Linked DNA regions of Caenorhabditis elegans. The protein of the gene in region 4 purifies or fractionates together with the protein of the main gene of each other region. This does not show direct contact. Each region holds a gene or a part of one and is shown on either strand. Other genes may lie near its edges.

Region 1 (3,900 bases), on a different chromosome or scaffold from region 4:
CTTGGCAATTGAAGTACGAAGCTTATTATGAAGGTCCACAATGAATTGTTGAGTGCTTTCTCTGAATTGAGCATAAGCTCCTGAAAAATTGAAGAAAATTAGTTTCAAAAATTTCCAAAAAAAAAACTTACCAATCTGAAGGGTAACCAAAACGAGAAGAGTAAAGGTGTGCATGTTGTCTGTTGAAAATACAACTAGTAGGTTGGATATTTATAGGAGATTTTAGTTTGTATGAACAACTGGATGTCGTCGTCGCCGTGAGGGAAACTAAAAGTCATGGGAAGAGGGAAAAAACTAAAGAACGTGTGCTTTAATAGAAATAGACTAAATTGGTAAGAGTTTTATGTTGACATTGTTTGTTTTATATACAAAAGGGAGGCTGAAGTTGGATTTCATTTTTTGAAATTTCACACAGTAGATAGTAACAATACAGACATACGGTAATTTTTTGAAATTCATGGAAGTCAGAAACGGAAAAATAAAAACGTTTTCAAGCTGTTAACTTTCAACTAAATCACCAACATCTTTGAAAATACATACAAGATATCGTAGTCAAAAAACCTATAGCTTGAACTTTTTTCATAACTTAGATACATCTCTAGACACAAGTAGTCTTTGACCTCCCAATAAAGTTCTAACTGCTCATTATACTCCAAATCTGCCAATAGGATTTCGAACACGTAATCGTCGCATTTGTTACATAGGCATTTTGATCAAAGGTTGTTTGTGTTCTGGTTTTCAACTAGCACACAATTTTATTTATTATCTACAGAAAGTTTGAAAACACATTGCATTATTAAAGTTTAGACGCAGAGCCCTGTGGAAGTCTCACATGACGTTCCTGATGGACAGCCGGAACAGGTTGCTCCCGATACGTAGATGTATTGATTAATGAAGTTTCCTCTGAAAATTGATGTATTAGCAAACAGTAGCTTGTATTCAACAGGGCTCTCTCGCACATACACTTTTCAATTTTTTTTTATGTTAAAAATTTTGTCTCGGTTGAAATTAATTTTCCTAAAACTACTTTTTACTCTTCAGAAAAATCCTAACTCACAAAGTGTTCAAGACTACTTTACCAGTTGTCGAAGCACAGTTCACTTTTCGCCAACAACAATATTTTTCGTATTTTTGTATAATTTTTATTGGGTTTTTTGTTTTTAATGATCTCCTCAAAATGATCAAAATTTGTTGAAAATTGCCTAATTTTTTGGATTTTGTTTCAGGGAACGTGACCAAAAATTTATCTTTTTTGCAAACCTATCCTAGAGAACAACACAAAACACAACATTCGCAGACACAGTCAACATAGACTAGTCAACAAATCTCACTTACTGCGGCTTGTACTGGCACACGACGGTTACTTTGTTCAGGCCGTTTGAGTCTCTTCCACAATCCTTGACTCCACATCCGATCAGGTTGGATTTCGCCCACGCCATTTGAGTCGCGTGTCCGATTCCTGTGTTGAAGAGATCGATAGTCATAAGGTTAGACTTCCATCCGTAATCTTGGAATTCTTTTTCCCATGATGCCGACGCAGCAGATCCCTGAATGAAAAGATTGATTATAGAAATTTCAGAAACTTTTAAAATAAAGAAGGTATCAAGCGCCTGCCTCCTGCCTACTGCCAATATTCGCATGTTGTATTTAGGCAAAATTTGAACAAAATAGGCAGTAGGTCTAGGCAGGCAGGCACAAGGTAGACTAAATGACTGACATATTGATTGAGGTCTCCCAGAGATCCACTTGTCCAATACCAATACAAATTCTCCCCAAGGCCTGCATCTCCAGAGTGTCCCGTCGGACACCCGTTTGCGTAGTTTTGGGCGGATGCGGCGACTGCGGAATCCCATTTCTGAAAAGTTGAAATCAAAAATAAATCTGAGAACCTTAGTTATGTACATACCATTTTCAACAGATTTGTTCCCGGCGATTTCTGAGTTCCTTTTGCCACGTAGGTACCTTTTGCAATTTTAGACCGCAGAGTGTTATGTGCATTGATAATTCCGTTTTGTCCGGAAGAGCCGAAATCAGCGGAGCAGCCAACAGCAAGCGCCACAACCAGCAACAAGTAATTCATAATTGGAGAAAAAAGTGCAAGTCAACACGAATATGTTTATCACTGCGGTTCATTTTATAGGAGTCTTATCACGCGAAAACCTGTAAAATTGTATGATAATTGAGAAATCGTAAGCTACGTATGATCGGAAGTGGGCAGCACAAGACCAAAGAATTGACTTTTATCAGTAATTATGAACATTTGAGTCAAGTCAACAAGTATTCTGATTAGGAAGAAGTGAATTTTCTTCCTAATTTTGTTGTTGGCACATAGGCAAGTAGAATGTTTTACTTTTGCCTGCACTTGATGTTGTGTGCATTTTCGTAAATTTTAAAAAAGTTTGGTGTAATTTAAAGTTTTCGCTTTATTTTTTTTATATAATCACCAAGAAAAAACAAATGCTTCATTAGTAAATTAATTCCCAGATTAAAACAAAACAAATAAATTAAAAAATTACAGACACAAAAAGTGAAATCTCTCATTATCCGCAAAGCCCAGAAGCAGTGTCACATTTAGTAGATCCGGAACAGCTGGAACACGTAGTTCCTTCCTTATAAATCGGCCGTCCCATAGTGTTTCCTCTGAATATTTTTGAACAATTTTGAGTTAAAAAAAATCAAAAACTTCAGTGCTTACGGTGGACTATACTGGCAGACTACAGCTATTTTGTTCATATTTCTCATCGATGCGTCTCGTCCACAATTCTTGACTCCACACCCGATGGAGCTGGTGTTTGCCCAAGCCATTTGAGTAGCGTGTCCTATTCCACTGTTGAATAGGGTGGTATCCATTGCGTTAGACTTCCAGCCAAAGTCTTGGAATTCCTTTTCCCATGCGGCAGCGGCGATTTCTCCCTGGAAAGAATTATTGATTTCTGTCCCAGAAAAGTTATGCGACTCACATAGGAATCCAAGGATCCAACATCCGCAGAAGTCCAAGACCAATACAAATTTTCCCCATATCCAGTTCCCTTTGAGTGTCCAGTTGGGCACGTATTCGCATAATTCTGAGCCGACGCAGCTACGGTGGAATCCACGACCTGAAAAGTTTATTGAAGTATCATCATTGGGCTTTTTGTTCAAATATGATTGCCAAAAGTTACCCCAACTTGAATGACTTGAAACTCTTGAAAAAAGAAAACTTTAAGTTTTTTATTTGACATAATTGGGCAATTTAAAACCTACCATTTTCCTCATATCAGTTGCTGGTTCTTTTTTGGTTCCCTTCGCAACATAGGTACTCTTTGCAATAGCGGATCTCAATTTGTTATGAGCATCCACAATGCTTGATTGACCAGTTGAAGTGAATTGAGCATTGACACCAATTGCTAGGAGGCAGAGAATGAAGTACATGGCAAACAAAATTATGATTTAAAGTTGCAAACGTGCTGCTTTTTATGAGAGGAGTTTTTTAATCAAGTACGAGATTTTCAAATAACTTTTAATATTTGCAAAACGTAAACAACAACAATCTTTATTTTTGTCCATTGTAGAGAAAACTCATAAATGATCCAAACGATTTGGTCAATAACAACAACAAATTGAGCTTTTTACGGATATCAAAAAGATCAGCCGGACTGAAAATATTATGCTATCGGGCTTCAAACCCACACACTTTTCGACTCGGCAAATTTGGTAAATTTGCCGCCCACCCCTGGTTTGTACTCGAATAATTACTAGAGAATCAAGCAAAAAACTGGAACAAAACTTTATTAACAAAACTTTATACTTTGACAAAAAATATAGTAAGTACTGATTTCCTCATTAATATTAATAATTATAATAAACTAAATCGTAATTTATCTGTAATTTTAAATTTAACTTATTCAATATTCGCCGACT
Region 2 (3,125 bases), on a different chromosome or scaffold from region 4:
TTTTTAAAACTTAAATTTAGGAAATTGATGAAACATTTAATACTAAAAGAACGCTTACTTCTAGTGCATTTGTTCTTGAATGAAACTGCCGTTTCCTCTTACCATCAGCAACCATTCTGAAAATGAAAAAATTGATGAGTTTCTGAATTTCCTGTTTTATATTGAGAAATTATGATGTGAAGTTCAATGAATATTGGTAAAACTGTAGCTAAATTGACATATTTATCTCTATATTCATGTCATATTTTCAGGTGAAACGAGGAAAATGATCGATGCAAGTTGAATGATTTTTCATTTTCTTATCAGTAAAGTAGTACTTTCGAATAAGAAAAAAACTTACTATAAGATTCGCCTTATTGGAATTAAAAATCACACTAATTTCCCTATTTGTCTTGCGGTTTAATTTTAAATAGCCGAAAAAAATAGTAAAAATAGAAATAGTGTTACAGAAAATATTTAACAGATCAGTGCGGAATTTGCTCTGGAGATATTTTAACAGAACTTTTTGTGGGCGTGAAACAGTTACTACATTCAAATTTCTTTTCCAAATAATGGTTAAATAATTCCTTCAAACAGGTTTTTACGAAATATTGCAAACAATTTATTGTTATTTAAAAGAATTTATTGAAACAGTTTTTAAAAGTTATTGAAGAGAAAGTTTGAGAACTGGCGCGGCAACTCCAGAAAATCCATGATCCGTTTTCGTTTTGATAATTTTCTGAAATTAATACTTTTTCAATTCGGGAATTTCAGGAATTCAATACCGTTGGATATTCAGAATATGATCCAACATCAGCTTTTGTGAACTTTTTGATGACCAAATGTCCGTTATTCTCTTCATAATTTGACGAGTCAATAGCTTTTCCATTAGCATCCACAAACACTCCTTTGTTTTCTCCTTCGAAATGGAAAATCTGTTCGCCAGCGTCAACGGATCTCTGGATTGCCTTGGCTCCTTTGAAAAGTTCAATTTGCACTTTTTCGCCATCCTAAAATGGAATTTGTAAAATACTACTTGGTATTTCAAAATAAGAAAACTTTTGAAGTTTCGAGTAGTTTTGAGAAATACATTTAAAATTTCCTGTAGAAGCATGAACAACAGTTTTTAAACTATTGTCAGATAAAAAACTTTACAAACCTTAACTTCTTGAACTGCAATTGATCCTTCTCCAAACTGAAGAACAAAGGCAATCAGTATAAACGAAGAAATCAAAAACCGGCTCATTCTGAAAATGATAAAAAAAATTTAAGGAAAGCTTTTATTGAAAACAATTCAAAAAGCTCCTGAAACAAAGTTTTCTCAGATGATTTTGAGAGAAAAAAGAATGAAGAAAGAAAACATCTCTAGAACCCATTAAATAGTGACGAATGAGACTTGATTTATTGGTCACCTGTTGACTGAATAGAGGTCACGCCTATTTCTGTTCTGACTCACATTTTTGTTTATTTTTGCAAAGTTTGCACGAAATTGTTTTAAAAATTTTATTTAGAGAAATTATTAGAACACATTCCGAATGAAATTTGTTTATTGCAGGGAGATATCAAGAGTGAGTCCTGGAACAGCGGAGATGGATCCATCAGCGTGCTTGGTTTCGGTGTTTTTCTGAAATAAAACATTTCTAATTATTTCTCCCACTGAAAACTTACAGCTGGGTGCTCGGAGTAGGTTCCAACATCGGCCTTGGTGAACTTCTTAATGATAAGGATTCCGTTATTAGCTTCATAATTGGTTGACTCAATCTTCTTTCCCTTAGCATCAACAAATGATCCCTTGTTATCTCCGTCAAGGTGGAAGATTTGATCTCCACCGGCAACGGTTCTCTTGATTGCCTTGGCTCCCTTGAAAGCATCGATTTCAACTTTTTCTCCGTCCTGAAAATGATTTTTTGTTATTTTTCAAATAGGAGTTACAACAAACCTTAACCTGCTGTTGAGCAACGGCAGCATCGGATATGGCAAAGATGGCAACAAGGAGGAAAGCGGAAAGAATGAAGCGGTTCATTTTCTGAAATTTTATTTAATTTTCAAGAATGAAAAAAGTTTTGTGAATTGACACGAAATTCAGAAGAACAATTGAAAGAAAAAGCACAAAATCTTAAAGTGATGAAACCTTTCTCTTGGAACAACAATAAATAGTGTCGTCAGCCAGAAGATACTGCCTTCGAATGAAAAAAATAGGGTAAGCACCTCCGCTGGTTAAACTAAACGCCCAGCCCACTTTGCAATCAATCACTTTGTTTTTATCATTTGTTTGTTGGCTAGAGTGAGAGAAAATATCCTTCTTGTTATCAGAGTTATACAAAAAATCCTACAGAGTTGGAACACGGAACTAGAAAATGAGGATTCGTTTCCTTAGACTGTTCAAAGAATGTCATTTGGAGAAGTATTGAAAATGGAACAATCAGGAAGTTTATTTGTTCTTAAGATCAATGTGAGAACACTATGAAAGTTCACAATGATGGGATTGAGAAGGTCGTGTTTTGAGGCGCGTAGCTTTTTTTACTGATAGATGTGAAGTTTACAGGATGTTTAGTCGATTTTTAATATGTCGTTTTTTAGTTGGAAAGATAATTTAATTGATAAATTAGAGTACTTTAGAGTTCCAAAAATTACTGATAATACATAATTATGCCTCAAAAAAATTACGTGTATGTGTAGTTAGCTTTACCGCTAATAAGAGTTTAGTAAATAAGAAAAGAGGTGAATCGAATGTGTCTTATCTGAAACCGATTTATGCCATTTTGTGGCCAAGCAAACTTTTATAGTCCCTATCTTAATTGAATTATGTTGTGATGGAAAGTAAGAAATCAATAGAGCGGAAATTTTCTTTTTTGAATTTTTTTAACTGATCAAAAACACCTTCTATATTTTTGATGAATTATTATTTCTAATTCACAAAAGACGAGATTGTGTGCTCAAGATTGAAACAGGTTTTAAAACAATCAATTTGAAGGCGAACTTGAAGGCGACTAATAATTTTTAGGACTAGAAAAAAAAACGGTCTTATTATCAGAATATTACAACGCATAATAAAAAATTTAAACATCAGATATAAAATATACGTTCTGTGAGTTAAATGAATAACGTTTCAAAGGCTGAGGCCTTACAGATTCTTCAGCTCTTTT
Region 3 (7,992 bases), on a different chromosome or scaffold from region 4:
AAGTTTGGATAAAAATTTGTTTTACTGTTTCTAAAATTTAATAAACTAGAACTATAAATAATTCCATGTTGGATTATCTCTTTTTGATTAAATTACCTCATTTTTATTCAATAAAACCACAGTTTTGGTACCATCTTGATTCAAAAATGAAAGACCCTCAACATCAACTGATTTCTCAATAATGTTTATTCCAACACGAATAGCTCCCGGTTTCACAAATTTACTGAATTGAGCCATTACATGCCAAATTGGTTGTTTGTAGTACTCTTGAGCAGTTGCATTCACGATTATTGTTGAATCGACAAAGTTTTTGGCAAGATTTGGTCCTCCTGGAAAATAAATATTAGAAAACTGTTTCAACCTAGTTATATCAAAGATTTAAAATTCTAAATCTGTTTCTTACTATGGTTTTTGATGTTTTTAAATTAAAAAATCGCAAGTGTTGCTACACTTCACAAACCAACCTTGTAAATCAAGAATATAATTCCAATCAACCCATCCTCCAACCCAATTTCCCATATCTTTAATCAAATCATTTGCATATTGTTCAGCTCTAGACCATGATCCCAATTTTGGTCCATCTGCTGGGAAGTATCCAGCACATGCTTCAGTTGCCAAAAGGAAATAGTCTGGGAACTTCTCGTGAGTTTCAGTGAGTACGGTTGCTGGGTCAATGAAGTCTTCATACCAATGAATTGCAATTCCGTGGACGTATTGAGCAGCAGTTGGATCCGTTAAAATCTAAAATTTTATTTTAAAAGAGTGGGGACGTCGGAATGGGATATGATTTTTAATCAAGGGTTAAAAATTCAAATAGGTAAATTCTGCGGATAACTCTTCCCAAGGCCAAAGAAAGATTGATGGCAATAATAATTTTCTTATATTTATTTTGAATGTAAAACAGCACAAAGTTTGATTATTTTATGTTTTTCCCTACTGTTGCATAACTGTTTCAACAAAACGACAACTCACCACATTTGGCCAATTTGGCAAAATAATTTCCTGATTATCATTCATCATAATCTTCAAATTCTAACAATTAGTCAATAAATACTTCATTACACTTTGTTTCATAATTTACCAAAGACTACGGAAAGCTCAAAAATACCTCAATTTTGATTCCCAAAAACAGTACTTTTGTTTCGACTGTTTTGTTTATAATTTCTATATATATATTTATTTTGAATGTGAAACAGTACAATTTTTGAATATCTGATATGTTTCAATGTTTCAACAAATCCATTTTAGCATTACGTTTCTTATCAGTTTTGCACATTTTGTCGTTCGATTTTAATTTTTTCTAAAACAATTTACACAACTGTTGAACTATTCGGTCAATTCAGTAATAATTGTAGGTGAAAGCGAGTTTTAAAATTAAAATAACCGTTCTAGTGTCTTGATTCGAAAAAAATTCGAAAATACTTAATTACAATGGAGTCTTAATAGTGTTAAAAAACGGTAAGTACCTAATAGAAAACAAAAAAATAAACAAAGGAAAGAGCTATAAAAGTTTTGAAAATTTTCAATAAATAAAAGAGGTTTTGTTTCTCGTATTGGATTACTGTTTTGTTTATAATTTTAATATATTTATTTTGAATGTGAAACAGTATCTAATTAATTTTTAGTCATTCAATCATTTCTACCTATTACTCAATGTTTTATCCCACCAATAACTTACTACATTTGGCCAGTGTGGCAAATTAATTCTCTGATCATCATTAATCATAATCTTCAAATTCTTAGTCACTGGTGATGAAGCAAGTGCTGGTCCCAAAAGTTTCTTTATAAAATTTCGTTCCATTGATGCATCGAAAAAGAGTGTTTGCCATTTCCAAAGTGGATCAATTCCAGTTGTTGGCTCGTTTTGTGGTGTCAAAGACCAAAAGTCAATACCTTGAGCGTGATAGGCTTCGAAGAATCTTTCATTTTATAATTTTATTTTTTATTTCTTTGAAAATAAGAACTTACTTTACAAAGTACTGTGCCCATGTCTGATAGTATTTTCCATTCTGATCTCCCAATAGCTCTCCGGCACCAACCATTCTTCCAGAAGTTTTCATCCATCCTGGGGAGCTCCATGGAGTTGCAAATAGCTTTAATTTCCCTCCAGAAGCTGTCATTGCCTTCTTGATAAATGGAATTTTATACTGGAGATCTTCCACTGTTAAATTGAAATTTTTGAGATCAAAATCAAATTTAACGTCGTCATAACTGTACTCGTGAGTTGAAAAGTCAGTTGAAGCCATTGGAACTCGTCCAAAAACATACCCGAGACCTAAATTATTTATTTTTCAAGCTTAATCTTTTGAAAATAACTTACCATCATCGGAAAAGTATTGCTGAATAATTTGATCTTGCATTGTCTGTGGCAGCATCTTCATATTAATTCCAGCAGCATCAGTGAATGCAGCTCCAAATCCCATTACCGGTTGAAAACTTTGAGTTGTGTTCACATATACTTTTGTTTTGGCTACAAAAACGATGTATCATATCAACAATTGTTACAAAATAATTGTGAAACAGTAGAATAATTTTTTGCCAACTTCAAAATAAAAAAATATCATTCTCTAAATTCTAATATTATAAAGGTTTTTGTGTTAGTTGAGCGGTGCCTGCCTCTCTATCTAAGAGCCTGCCTACCGCCTATTTTGCATCAGTTTCGAACCAGAAGTTACTGATAAGCTTCCGGTGTATTCTGGAGGCAGGCAGACAGGAATGCAGGCAAGAATTCTGTGCCTTCATGGAACTTCCTATACAATTAACGTACCTGTAGAAGAAGTTGTATGCTTCAATTCACTTCTGTTCATTCTTTTTCCATTTCTTGATGTTGTATAGACAACTGCTTTCCCAGAAGTAACAGTTCCAAGTGGTTCAATTGTATCACAATACGTGGCATTGCAACGACAAACTATTCCATACTCTTTCTTCACTTCGGAGCAAGGAAGGGACTCTGGAAATTGGCTTCAGTTGTGTTTAGTTAGTTGGAATGGTTTTGGAAATTGTGCAGGACTACGTGTTTAGAAAATGTCTAAAGCTATTTCCAGTTCTGTAAATTGTGGTTATGAAAATTTTTACCATACGAAATACATATTTCAAATTTTACATTTCATAAATAAATTTGTTGAAACGGAATTTTTTAAAACTGTTTTATCCATGTTTTGCCTGCACATTGCAAGCAATGAATACAATACATTAATTACCGTATTTCTTCTATTAGTCTTGCATATGCAATTATGAAAAAGCTTTTTTTAAAGCATTTTTTCTAAAAAAGTTTCTAAAATAATTTTTTTACAGTCTGCTGCCCATTTAGATTAAAGGATACGAAAATTAATTTTGAAGAAAAATAGTTACGATTAGAAAAATATTAAATTTTGCATTTAGCAGATTGAAACTGAGTTATTTTCCTAAAAAAAATTATAACTGTTATCTGTTATCTATTAATTAAGGTTTGTTAATTGTAAACTCTGATAATTCAAATGTTTGACAATTTGAAAAAATCTGATACATATGTGTATAAGCGTAATGAAATCATTGCTCAAATATTGAAAAAAGATACTATTATCAATTCAATACCAATCCAAAACTCATATTATAACACAGAAACAGTAATTTTTTATTGGGATAACAACAAAAAGTTATGAATTTTTTCTTTTTTTACTTTTTTTTACCTCGGAGCAGTAGAAACTTTTCATGTTGGCAATTATGTTAAGATTGATGTCTACAATGATTTTTGAAATGACAAATTTTTTTTTAAATACCGTTTCACATAATCTTTAGAAGTCTTCAAAAAATATTGTTATCGTTGAATCCAATTTAGATGTAGCAAAACTGACGAATCCGAACTAAGAATTAGGGTCTTAATTTAATCGATTTCTGAGTGCAAAAGTCCAGATTTGTCCGTTTTAGTCACATTTGGTTCGCATTTATTGAAATTTTATAAACGCATTTGAGGACAGTTATATCTAATACATTTTCTTGTTCGCAACAGAATCATAAAAGTGTGGGATTTTAACAGATCATGTTGGAACAGAGTTTTTTTTGTGAAAATAAATATTAAAAAGTTGTAGCTTCAAATGCATTTTTCATGCTCGATATTTGTTTTAATTTGTATTTTTAATTTGTAAAACTTCTGTATCAACTTTCCACAATTTCCACATTTTGTTTAAAAAAAGATTTGTTCGAATTGCACGAATTAAGTAATACAAATACTAACTCAAATATTATACCTCGGAAACGGCAATATTTTTCAATGGGAATTTTTAAATTTTTTTAAATAGAAGTTATTAAATGATTATTGAGAATTCAGTTCCATTGAATTCAGTTCCAGTATTACTGTTTCTCAGTCATGATATGACAATTTGTCATATCATAACTGACTAGGGAGTGCTTTCACTATACGGTGCGATCGAGTAAAAGTAAACGTGTTATGCGATAGCTGGCATCTTAGGCTTTCAGAATCTGTAATTTGTTTCGGCGGAAGACCTCTGTGAGTCTGGAAATTTTCATCTGAAAATGTAGTACTGAAATCAGTTCATTTCCTATGGTTAACAGTGGATTTTGTCTCTGGCGCCAACAGAAGTCTCACCACAATGGTGGAAGGGCGAAATCATCGCTTCGGTGGTCGAGTGGTGAACGCGTTCGCCTCTTGAGCAGAAGTTTGTGGGTTCGGTTCCCACACATGGTTTAAATTTTGGCCTTTTTTATACAAAATTTTTAGAACGGGAAACAAATGTTTAAAACAGTTTTTTGAGGTTTTTACATTACTTTTTTGCTTTTTGATTGAACCACAATTACCCTGGAAACTTTTCAGAAATTTTTATTTTTTTCGAAAATTGCCACTTTTTTCTCCCATGAGAAAATTGGTTCCAAAAATTTTGTTTGAAATTTTTTCAAAAATGTATGAAATATTGTAGAGTGTCACGAATAACTTATTTTTCATTGTTTTCAATGACCGAATCACTGATTCTGATGCCGTATCAAGACGTTTTACCAAATCGATATTGGCAAAACATCTTGTTTTTGAGGCTCCATATCTCTGCAGAAAAAAATCGCACTAAAAGTGATCAACTAGAAACTTGTTAAACACAATGTGATCTAAAACTTTTCAGTTGAACACTTTTTTGTAAAAAATTTGGTTGCCAGGTTGGAACCAATTGATTTGAGCGTCATTATTTTTGAATATTCTAAATAGTTAAAGGTCTATATCTTGGGAACCAAATTTTTTACAAAAAAGTGTTCAACTGAAAAGTTTTAGATCACATTGTGTTTAACAAGTTTCTAGTTGATCACTTTTTAGTGCGATTTTTTCTGCAGAGATATGGAGCCTCAAAAACAAGATGTTTTGCCAATATCGATTTGGTAAAACGTCTTGATACGGCATCAGAATCAGTGATTCGGTCATTGAAAACAATGAAAAATAAGTTATTCGTGACACTCTACAATATTTCATACATTTTTGAAAAAATTTCAAACAAAATTTTTGGAACCAATTTTCTCATGGGAGAAAAAAGTGGCAATTTTCGAAAAAAATAAAAATTTCTGAAAAGTTTCCAGGGTAATTGTGGTTCAATCAAAAAGCAAAAAAGTAATGTAAAAACCTCAAAAAACTGTTTTAAACATTTGTTTCCCGTTCTAAAAATTTTGTATAAAAGAACCCAAAATTTAAACCATGTGTGGGAACCGAACCGACAAACTTCTGCTCAAGAGGCGAACGCGTTCACCACTCGACCACCGAAGCGATGATTTCGCCCTTCCACCATTGTGGTGAGACTTCTGTTGGCGCCAGAGACAAAATCCACTGTTAACCATAGGAAATGAACTGATTTCAGTACTACATTTTCAGATGAAAATTTCCAGACTCACAGAGGTCTTCCGCCGAAACAAATTACAGATTCTGAAAGCCTAAGATGCCAGCTATCGCATAACACGTTTACTTTTACTCGATCGCACCGTATAGTGAAAGCACTCCCTAGTGAGAAACAGTAATATTTTTTTAGAACTTTTCTAAACACTTCCAGGCACTTCTACTACTCACTTGCATCGCTTGAAAATCCATAAAACGCCAGAAATATTAGCAAAGAAACGGATATATTCAAAATCATGATAGCCTAGTCTAGTGTATTCCGTTAAAACCGGACACTTTCCAAGACTACTAATGAATAAATGATAAGAACAATATTTGAAGACACTGACCACGTTTTTATAAAGACTAATCAGTTGGAATATTCTGATCAAAAAATAATTGAAACTGATAAGAAATTATGGAAAAAAGAAGGGAAAACACATAAATTATTGGTTTCAGGCTGCTAACTATGCAGGACATATATAGATAATGACGGGGGCAATGGACAAATCATGGTATGATAAAGTTCGTGGTATGAGCGTGAGTGAGCTACATGTTGTCACCTATAGTGATCTGAAAACAATAAAGAAATTGGAACTTTAACATATTATTAGCAGGTTCAAAAAATTTTACCGTTTCAGTGTTTAAATTTAATTACGTGGGAAAAATTAATGTAATAACACTCTCATGGTATGCTTTTTACTGTCGTTTCATAAAAAAAAAACTTGCACAATTTAATGAGATTTCAATTATAGAAGAAGTACGAGTTGGAACGAACCGTTTTGATGCTTCTGTAAATTTTATTATTTTTTGAAAACTTTGTTAAAAGGCTTTTTTTTTATTTTGAACATTTATTTCATGCAAAATGAACTAATCAGTTAGGGAAAATTTTAAACCATTAGAAAAATAATAAATTTTTTATTAAGAAATCAAGGAAGCTCGACAAAACTGCTCTTCCTGGTTGGAGCGACAGTAGTTGGAATTTGAACGATGTCTTCACTTTTCTGAAAGTTTAAATTTTGCTGTAATTTTAGTGTTATTTAAATAATTTGAAAACTAAAATTTCAACTGAACCATAATAGTTCAGCATTTTGGTTCAAATCAGCAAGCAATTGTTTTAGTCACTTGAAAAAATTACTGTTTCACAAGTTTTACTTGATTTTCAAATTTCATTAGAAAATTGATCTCATCCTATAAAGCAATTTCAATGCACACGAACATTCTTACGGGTTGCTGCAGTTGGCATGATGACGTCACCGAGTTTTGGAGCACTTGGAACAGCTTTCGATTTTGAGCTAGTTTCTCCGGCTTTGAACTCGGTTCCGCTGAAAAAAATTGTTTTAAAAATAGCCAATATATAGATGAAGTCTGCTTTAAGATTTTTCGATTCAACTTTTTTTCTAAAAATGTGTAATGAATCTTTATATATTTTTTTCTTTTTTTCTTTGGAATCTATTTAAAAATTCTTGTAAGTATTTCGTACCTAAAATTTTCGTATTTCCTATTTCAAAAAAGTTTCACAAAAAAAAGTAACTTACTCTCCCTTCCACTCGTTACACTCATCAAACTGGCAGCAACAAAAAGTGGAATCTTTGGTTTGGAAATGGCATCCGGTCATCTAAAATTGATATAAATTGTCTGATGCTCAGAAAAAAATGAACCAACCGGACATTTCTCCTCCATACTGTGCTCATCGCTCCACGAACTGCATTCACGTCTGCAAAATTATTATTATTCTTGGGCGTAATGTTAAGCATGTAATGTTAAACAATTAAATTGAATGAGTTTTAAAGAACATGTGAAACAGAAAAATTTTTATTATTTGAGTTAAAGGAAATCAAGAAAAATTTCATTGTTTCTGTTTTACTGTTTCTGATTAGAAATTAAGAATTCACTTTAATTTTGTTTTACTATTAATAAGCTTGGATCTCAGAGAGATTTTTTAAAAGTTACACACAAAAATGAGCTTACATGTCACTTTTTGATTTACAGTTTCAACTAGAAGATATATTTCACCATGTTTGACTAATTACATTCTTTCGGTCGATAGGTTGACAATGGGCTAGAAATTACCAGAATACACAATTCTAAGTTTTTGCAACTTTGCCTGAAAGAAAAGAGCAGCCGAGTTTTCACTTTTAGTCGCTTTA
Region 4 (4,843 bases):
CGATGTGCCAGTTGTTTGGTCCCCGCGGGAAGAAAACAAAAAATAAAAATGCTTGGATTCCAACACCTGGTCGCTCTTTTTCTCTCCCACACTCTCATCTGGTGGGGATTCAGAAGAAAACAACACACAAAAAATGAAGAATAGATGAACAATAAACAAAATGATAGGAATTACGTTCTTTATCTGTTTATTTTCAGCGAGCATGATGGAGTGCCAGATGATTTACTGAAAGTGTATACAGCATCTGGATGTATGAAAGTTGTGGATTCTGTGCTCACTGAAAGAACACCTACAGCCACAATTGATTTTACACCAAACTTTATTGGTAAGCCTTTAATACAACAAAATGTGATATACATATGAGCACTTGCGTACTGTCAAATCAAAAATGAAAACGTTTCTATTTACCCGTTAAATGTTCAGAAAATTATTTACAATATCTAAAAGTGCAAAGAGCAATACCGTTATTCCACACAAAAATAGAGAAAAATACACCAAGGATATTTGTCGTCAATCTTTACTCAACTCTTTTGGGTTTTCTAAATTTGCTCTATAAAACATTAACCATTTAAAATGTAAGATAGCAATAATTTATTTAATGGTTCCATGGGAACCAATGTTAAGATCTAGTTCATTTTGAATAAAATAAACTCGCTAAGAGAAATGGTAAGAAAAATGATAAAGAGTTGAACGTGTAAGACGAGTTTCCACATGCTTTGAGAGGAGTCCCGCATAACTGAAAATATGCGAACTTTGGTCTATAATGAGAAGATTATGCTTACCGTCATCATATCCGAGTAGTTTGTAACTGTCATATTTGAAAAAGCCACTGCCAATTGCGACACTTCACAAGGTTCCGGGCATCGGGAAAGCGGAATTCTGTATGGATCCGATGTAGTCTCATTTCGATAGTAGAGCTGAATAAATTAAAATGAACCATCAGCATTAATTTGAAAGAAAATATAAATAATTTTTTGTTAACCAAGTTTCCTAATAAAACTTATTTCAATTGAACAACTAACCTCAGAATAAAATTTTCCGTTGTCTGAATAAACATGCATGATAAGTGCAGCCGCATAAGGAACCATCATCTCATTTGAAGCACGGAATGCATTGAGAAGTGCAAGAAGAACACCATCATGCTGAAATTAATATAATAGATTTTCTCAGTTTCCATTAGATTTTACCGAAGAATAAAGAAGCATTCTCTGATCATTTCTGCTCTCAGAAACTGCAATTGCATTTTGAATCCAATTGTAAAGAACGGAGCCTCCTTCAAGTTTTCCTTTCTCTTCTGAATTAAATAGATTCATCATTCGAACGGTCCTCATTTCAGTTATAATGTCCATTGAAGTACGATTGTCATATTGAGGCCAGGTTTGTGTAACCCAATAAGGCTGTTTTGCAGTCATGTTATGAATCAACTCTCTTTGTATATCGAATAATCCATTAATATCCATATATGAACAGTGTTTGAATCCTGTAGTTTGAGAAAGTTCACTGAAGAAGTCTGCATACTTAACACTATAATAAGCGTTTGATTCTTGATCGCCTTGAGCCACTAAAACTTCATGACGAGCACATTTTATCGCAGTTGGTTTGCACACCTGAATCAGTTTATCTTAGTAAATGTAGTCTATAATGAATAGTCACTCTCCGGAAATAGAAATTGGGCTTCAAAATGTTTTATCAGTTGTTCTTACGTACTTTCTAATCTCTTTTGTCTTTCTGACGCATTTGTGATAAAACCTCATAAGAACAACTTTAGTTTAAATCTAAAAATCAACGGTTACCAAATCAGGTTCTCCTGGAGTAGATGCATGTACTGGAAGAGGTTGCCAGTCTATATCTGAGCTCCATTGATAACCACCAGAAGCTGGGTATAGCCCGTAAAGAAATGCTTGTGCAGATACCAAAGCACGATCAGAATCGGAAGAGCGCAGGTAGACCTACAAATTTCAAGAGTTTAATTTACAGATATGGTATTGAGTTTCTTACTTCTTTCACTGAAAAATTAGACGGAATAAATGAAGAGTCCACGTATTGGTGTCGGAAGAACTCTCCGAGCTCGTGAAGTTGTTGCATTCCAATCTAAAATAAATAGGTTTTTAAGGCAAAGTAGCGCCAGTGAAGGTTTTGTCAACGTGTATTTGAAATCAATCAGAAAAACTAATTAAAACACTATAAGATATTTGAGATTTTCATAATTTATAGTCAGTTCTAAAAAACTATATCCAAAATTTATAACCAAAAATTTTGACACTTTTCCTGTGATATTTGGTTATTTGAGCGTCACTGGGAGATGTTAAACATTTTTTCTGCTCCGTTTTTTAGGTCACTCTTTATAGCTGAAACAAATTAAATGTAATTATAATTTTATTGTGATATGATAGAAGATCGCGTAAGAACTCACAAATATTCAACAAGTACATTTCTTTAAAAGTTTAATAAAACAAACCGAAGTCAACTGCCCCCATCCCCTTGACCAAGCTTTTTCTGTGTACTGGTCATTTGGATACGGTAAGTGTAGAGGAGCACGGTCTCCATGTCGCCACAGTGCTTGTACAAACTCAAGTTTCCTAGATTCTATATTATTGAACACGGCAAGAAATATGACAAGTCCTTGTATCAACATCATCACGTCGTCTAGAAATCTCTGCAAAAAATTGAAAAAGTGAATACCGGACAGAAAAGTCGCAAAAAAGGGGACGAGTTCTCATGCAGGTCTATCAGGTTACATACAAGAATCGCACGCTATCTGATGACGGAAATTCTGATTCTTTTGACGTCGTCGAAATTGAGACGAGTATGTTCCAAAATAGAGCAAAAGTGCGGTGTAGTTGGATTTAAATAGAAAGTGAAAGTGGGGAGGAGTCGAAAGACTGTTAATTGTATGAAGTTTTGTTATCAGTTAACATTTTACTCCCACGGAAAAAAATGATTTTTTATCTAAAACGAATACTGGGTTTGAAGTTCCCGAATTTGGAAACAAATACGGAGAATTTTGTCGATCGGTCTTGAAATTTTAGTGCAGCAAAAAACAGTAGTGCCCGCCAATGTTCTATTCGCTGGTAGCTTATCGATGATGTTTGTGGTATTTTCTAGCATTTTTTACAAAGTTATGTATTTTCGAATATGCTACCTCACCTAGCACCTCGCGAGTTTATTTATGACTACTACTCTTTGAATCCATGTAACTGAATACATTTTTATTCAACCCATTATAATCAAAAAATAATCTACATACATCTATTGCTTAATTTTAATTGTCATGTTCTTAAGTCGTCAGGAAACTTACATTAGGGACACAATTTTAACTTGCAGAATGCAATTATGATCGAATTGTTCCGAATATTGCTTTTCAGCAAAAAAATTGTTTGAAATATATATATTGATAAAGAAATGACAATAAATCGAAAGTTAGGAAAGATCATAAGTACATTTATTTCAAAAAACGAACAAATACATCCAAAAAATGAAGCTCACAAAATTGATACGGTCGAAAAAACGCAAAAATGTTATCTCTCCTTGCATTTTAATCTTCTTAGACATACATCAGAGCCATGAAGAAAATGTTCAGTATAGTTGCAAAAATAGTTGATTCCACGTGCAAACTAGGCGCATCCAGGCGAGAAATATCCACAAAGTCATTTAAAATTCCAAATTTCACAAACTCATCCGATTAGTACCCCCGCGTTTTCATGACCTCACGTGTTGTTTCAGGAACAAAGAAGCTTGTCGTTTCTGTTGTGAATACCAATACATTGAAGTTAGAACGAGGGTTTTTGGTTTACGGAAAGTCTGAAGCGCCACGGATTACGCAGAAGTTTGTCATACAAATTCCATCATCTGATGAAGCTATTAGAAAGGTTTGTTGAATTTATATAATATTGAATGTTAAAGATTTTTAGTTTGGATCGACAGTAATTTCCAAACATTTCAAACTATTATTTTAACTAAAATAACAAGAATTTTTTAAAGTCAAAATCGCTCACTAAATTTAATTTTTTTGGGGCATGAAACTGTGATTTTCATGATACTTCTTTATTTGGCTAGCATGCAACAGACAACTTTCAGAATAAGGTAAAAAATCCGTTCAAACTAAACACATCTAACATTAAAATAAATAACATTTTTTCAAAATTTGTGTACAGTAAGAATGTTTTTGTTTACTGTTATTCATTGTCATGCTAGCAAATAATTAAAATTTGAAATGAATCAGAGAAACAACAGATAACAAAATTCAAATTTAGACTATAAGGAGGTTTTTTTTCAATTTGAAAACAAACCGATGGACTGAACAACTCAAATGTATGTGTGTTCTCTGTGTTGGTTTCCGAGAACTTTAAGCATTTCCCTGACAGTCCTAATAAGTCAATGAAAAATATTCAACTTCTTAGAGTGTGAAAAATTTGTCGAAGAAGTTTATGTATAAAATAACGAAGTACAACTATTTTCCTGGTAGAATAGTCTAAAGCTCTTACAACAATCATTAATATTATAGAAACTGTTCATCTCAATTGATTTCAATTTTACATAGTTTGAAAAAAAAACAAAGTGAGGTCCTTTAGAATATGGCGTTTTCTAGGGTTATAAACCTATTTGGATATTGTATAATTTAAGCTTATATGAGAAATCCTTATTTAAATGATTTTACAGAAAAAAAACCAATCTGGGGTCATAACCTTTTTTTGACGAAAACCCTTCTTTCAGAGAATCCCGATAAGAAACCCATATGGTTTACCAAAGACATTCCGAATCACCACATCAAATTCTGATATTGTAAAAATTACGGATAGTCTGTTGTCAGTTCCACCTATGGGAAAACTTCCATGTGAAATGT

The links.
Region 1: the proteins of pho-8 (region 4) and scl-2 fractionate together in Caenorhabditis elegans (co-fractionation; one large-scale study listed by BioGRID). This does not show direct contact.
Region 2: the proteins of pho-8 (region 4) and E04F6.8 fractionate together in Caenorhabditis elegans (co-fractionation; one large-scale study listed by BioGRID). This does not show direct contact.
Region 3: the proteins of pho-8 (region 4) and gba-4 fractionate together in Caenorhabditis elegans (co-fractionation; one large-scale study listed by BioGRID). This does not show direct contact.

Annotation. Positions count from the first base shown.
Region 1 is NC_003282.8:13,055,902-13,059,801, reverse strand, and holds scl-2 (SCP domain-containing protein), read right to left. Parts: upstream 2,093-3,900; 5' UTR 2,081-2,092; coding exon 1,907-2,080; intron 1,856-1,906; coding exon 1,718-1,855; intron 1,548-1,717; coding exon 1,336-1,547; intron 904-1,335; coding exon 804-903; 3' UTR 740-803; downstream 1-739. Other genes in the region: scl-3 (SCP domain-containing protein), read right to left, coding at 1-80, 132-174; scl-1 (SCP domain-containing protein), read right to left, coding at 2,541-2,640, 2,696-2,913, 2,961-3,098, 3,244-3,411.
Region 2 is NC_003280.10:7,210,155-7,213,279, forward strand, and holds E04F6.8 (Cuticle protein), read right to left. Parts: upstream 1,227-3,125; 5' UTR 1,226-1,226; coding exon 1,139-1,225; intron 990-1,138; coding exon 765-989; intron 719-764; coding exon 644-718; 3' UTR 597-643; downstream 1-596. Other genes in the region: E04F6.15 (DeHydrogenases, Short chain), read right to left, coding at 59-115; E04F6.9 (Periplasmic protein), read right to left, coding at 1,526-1,603, 1,648-1,872, 1,919-2,002.
Region 3 is NC_003282.8:5,344,738-5,352,729, forward strand, and holds the start of gba-4 (Putative glucosylceramidase 4), read right to left. Parts: upstream 6,161-7,992; 5' UTR 6,102-6,160; coding exon 6,035-6,101; intron 4,685-6,034; exon of another isoform or gene 4,612-4,684; intron 4,193-4,611; exon of another isoform or gene 4,172-4,192; intron 3,985-4,171; exon of another isoform or gene 3,964-3,984; intron 3,825-3,963; exon of another isoform or gene 3,804-3,824; intron 3,559-3,803; exon of another isoform or gene 3,538-3,558; intron 3,084-3,537; exon of another isoform or gene 3,063-3,083; intron 2,951-3,062; coding exon 2,768-2,950; intron 2,480-2,767; exon of another isoform or gene 2,471-2,479; coding exon 2,321-2,470; intron 2,276-2,320; coding exon 1,969-2,275; intron 1,920-1,968; coding exon 1,679-1,919; intron 1,562-1,678; exon of another isoform or gene 1,538-1,561; intron 1,147-1,537; exon of another isoform or gene 1,126-1,146; intron 862-1,125; exon of another isoform or gene 837-861; intron 742-836; coding exon 465-741; intron 418-464; exon of another isoform or gene 397-417; intron 330-396; coding exon 97-329; intron 91-96; exon of another isoform or gene 70-90; intron 1-69. Other genes in the region: Y4C6B.7 (Activin_recp domain-containing protein), read right to left, coding at 6,772-6,846, 7,062-7,167, 7,381-7,460, 7,508-7,559. UniProt on the Caenorhabditis elegans protein: Glucosylceramidase that catalyzes the hydrolysis of glucosylceramides into free ceramides and glucose. C.elegans contains specific sphingoid bases, which are unique or different in structure compared to the sphingoid bases found in other animals.
Region 4 is NC_003283.11:11,831,440-11,836,282, reverse strand, and holds pho-8 (intestinal acid PHOsphatase), read right to left. Parts: upstream 2,665-4,843; 5' UTR 2,639-2,664; coding exon 2,459-2,638; intron 2,092-2,458; coding exon 1,999-2,091; intron 1,950-1,998; coding exon 1,794-1,949; intron 1,608-1,793; coding exon 1,188-1,607; intron 1,143-1,187; coding exon 1,023-1,142; intron 918-1,022; coding exon 783-917; intron 737-782; coding exon 632-736; 3' UTR 575-631; downstream 1-574. Other genes in the region: nphp-4 (uncharacterized protein), read left to right, coding at 198-325, 3,724-3,869, 4,714-4,843.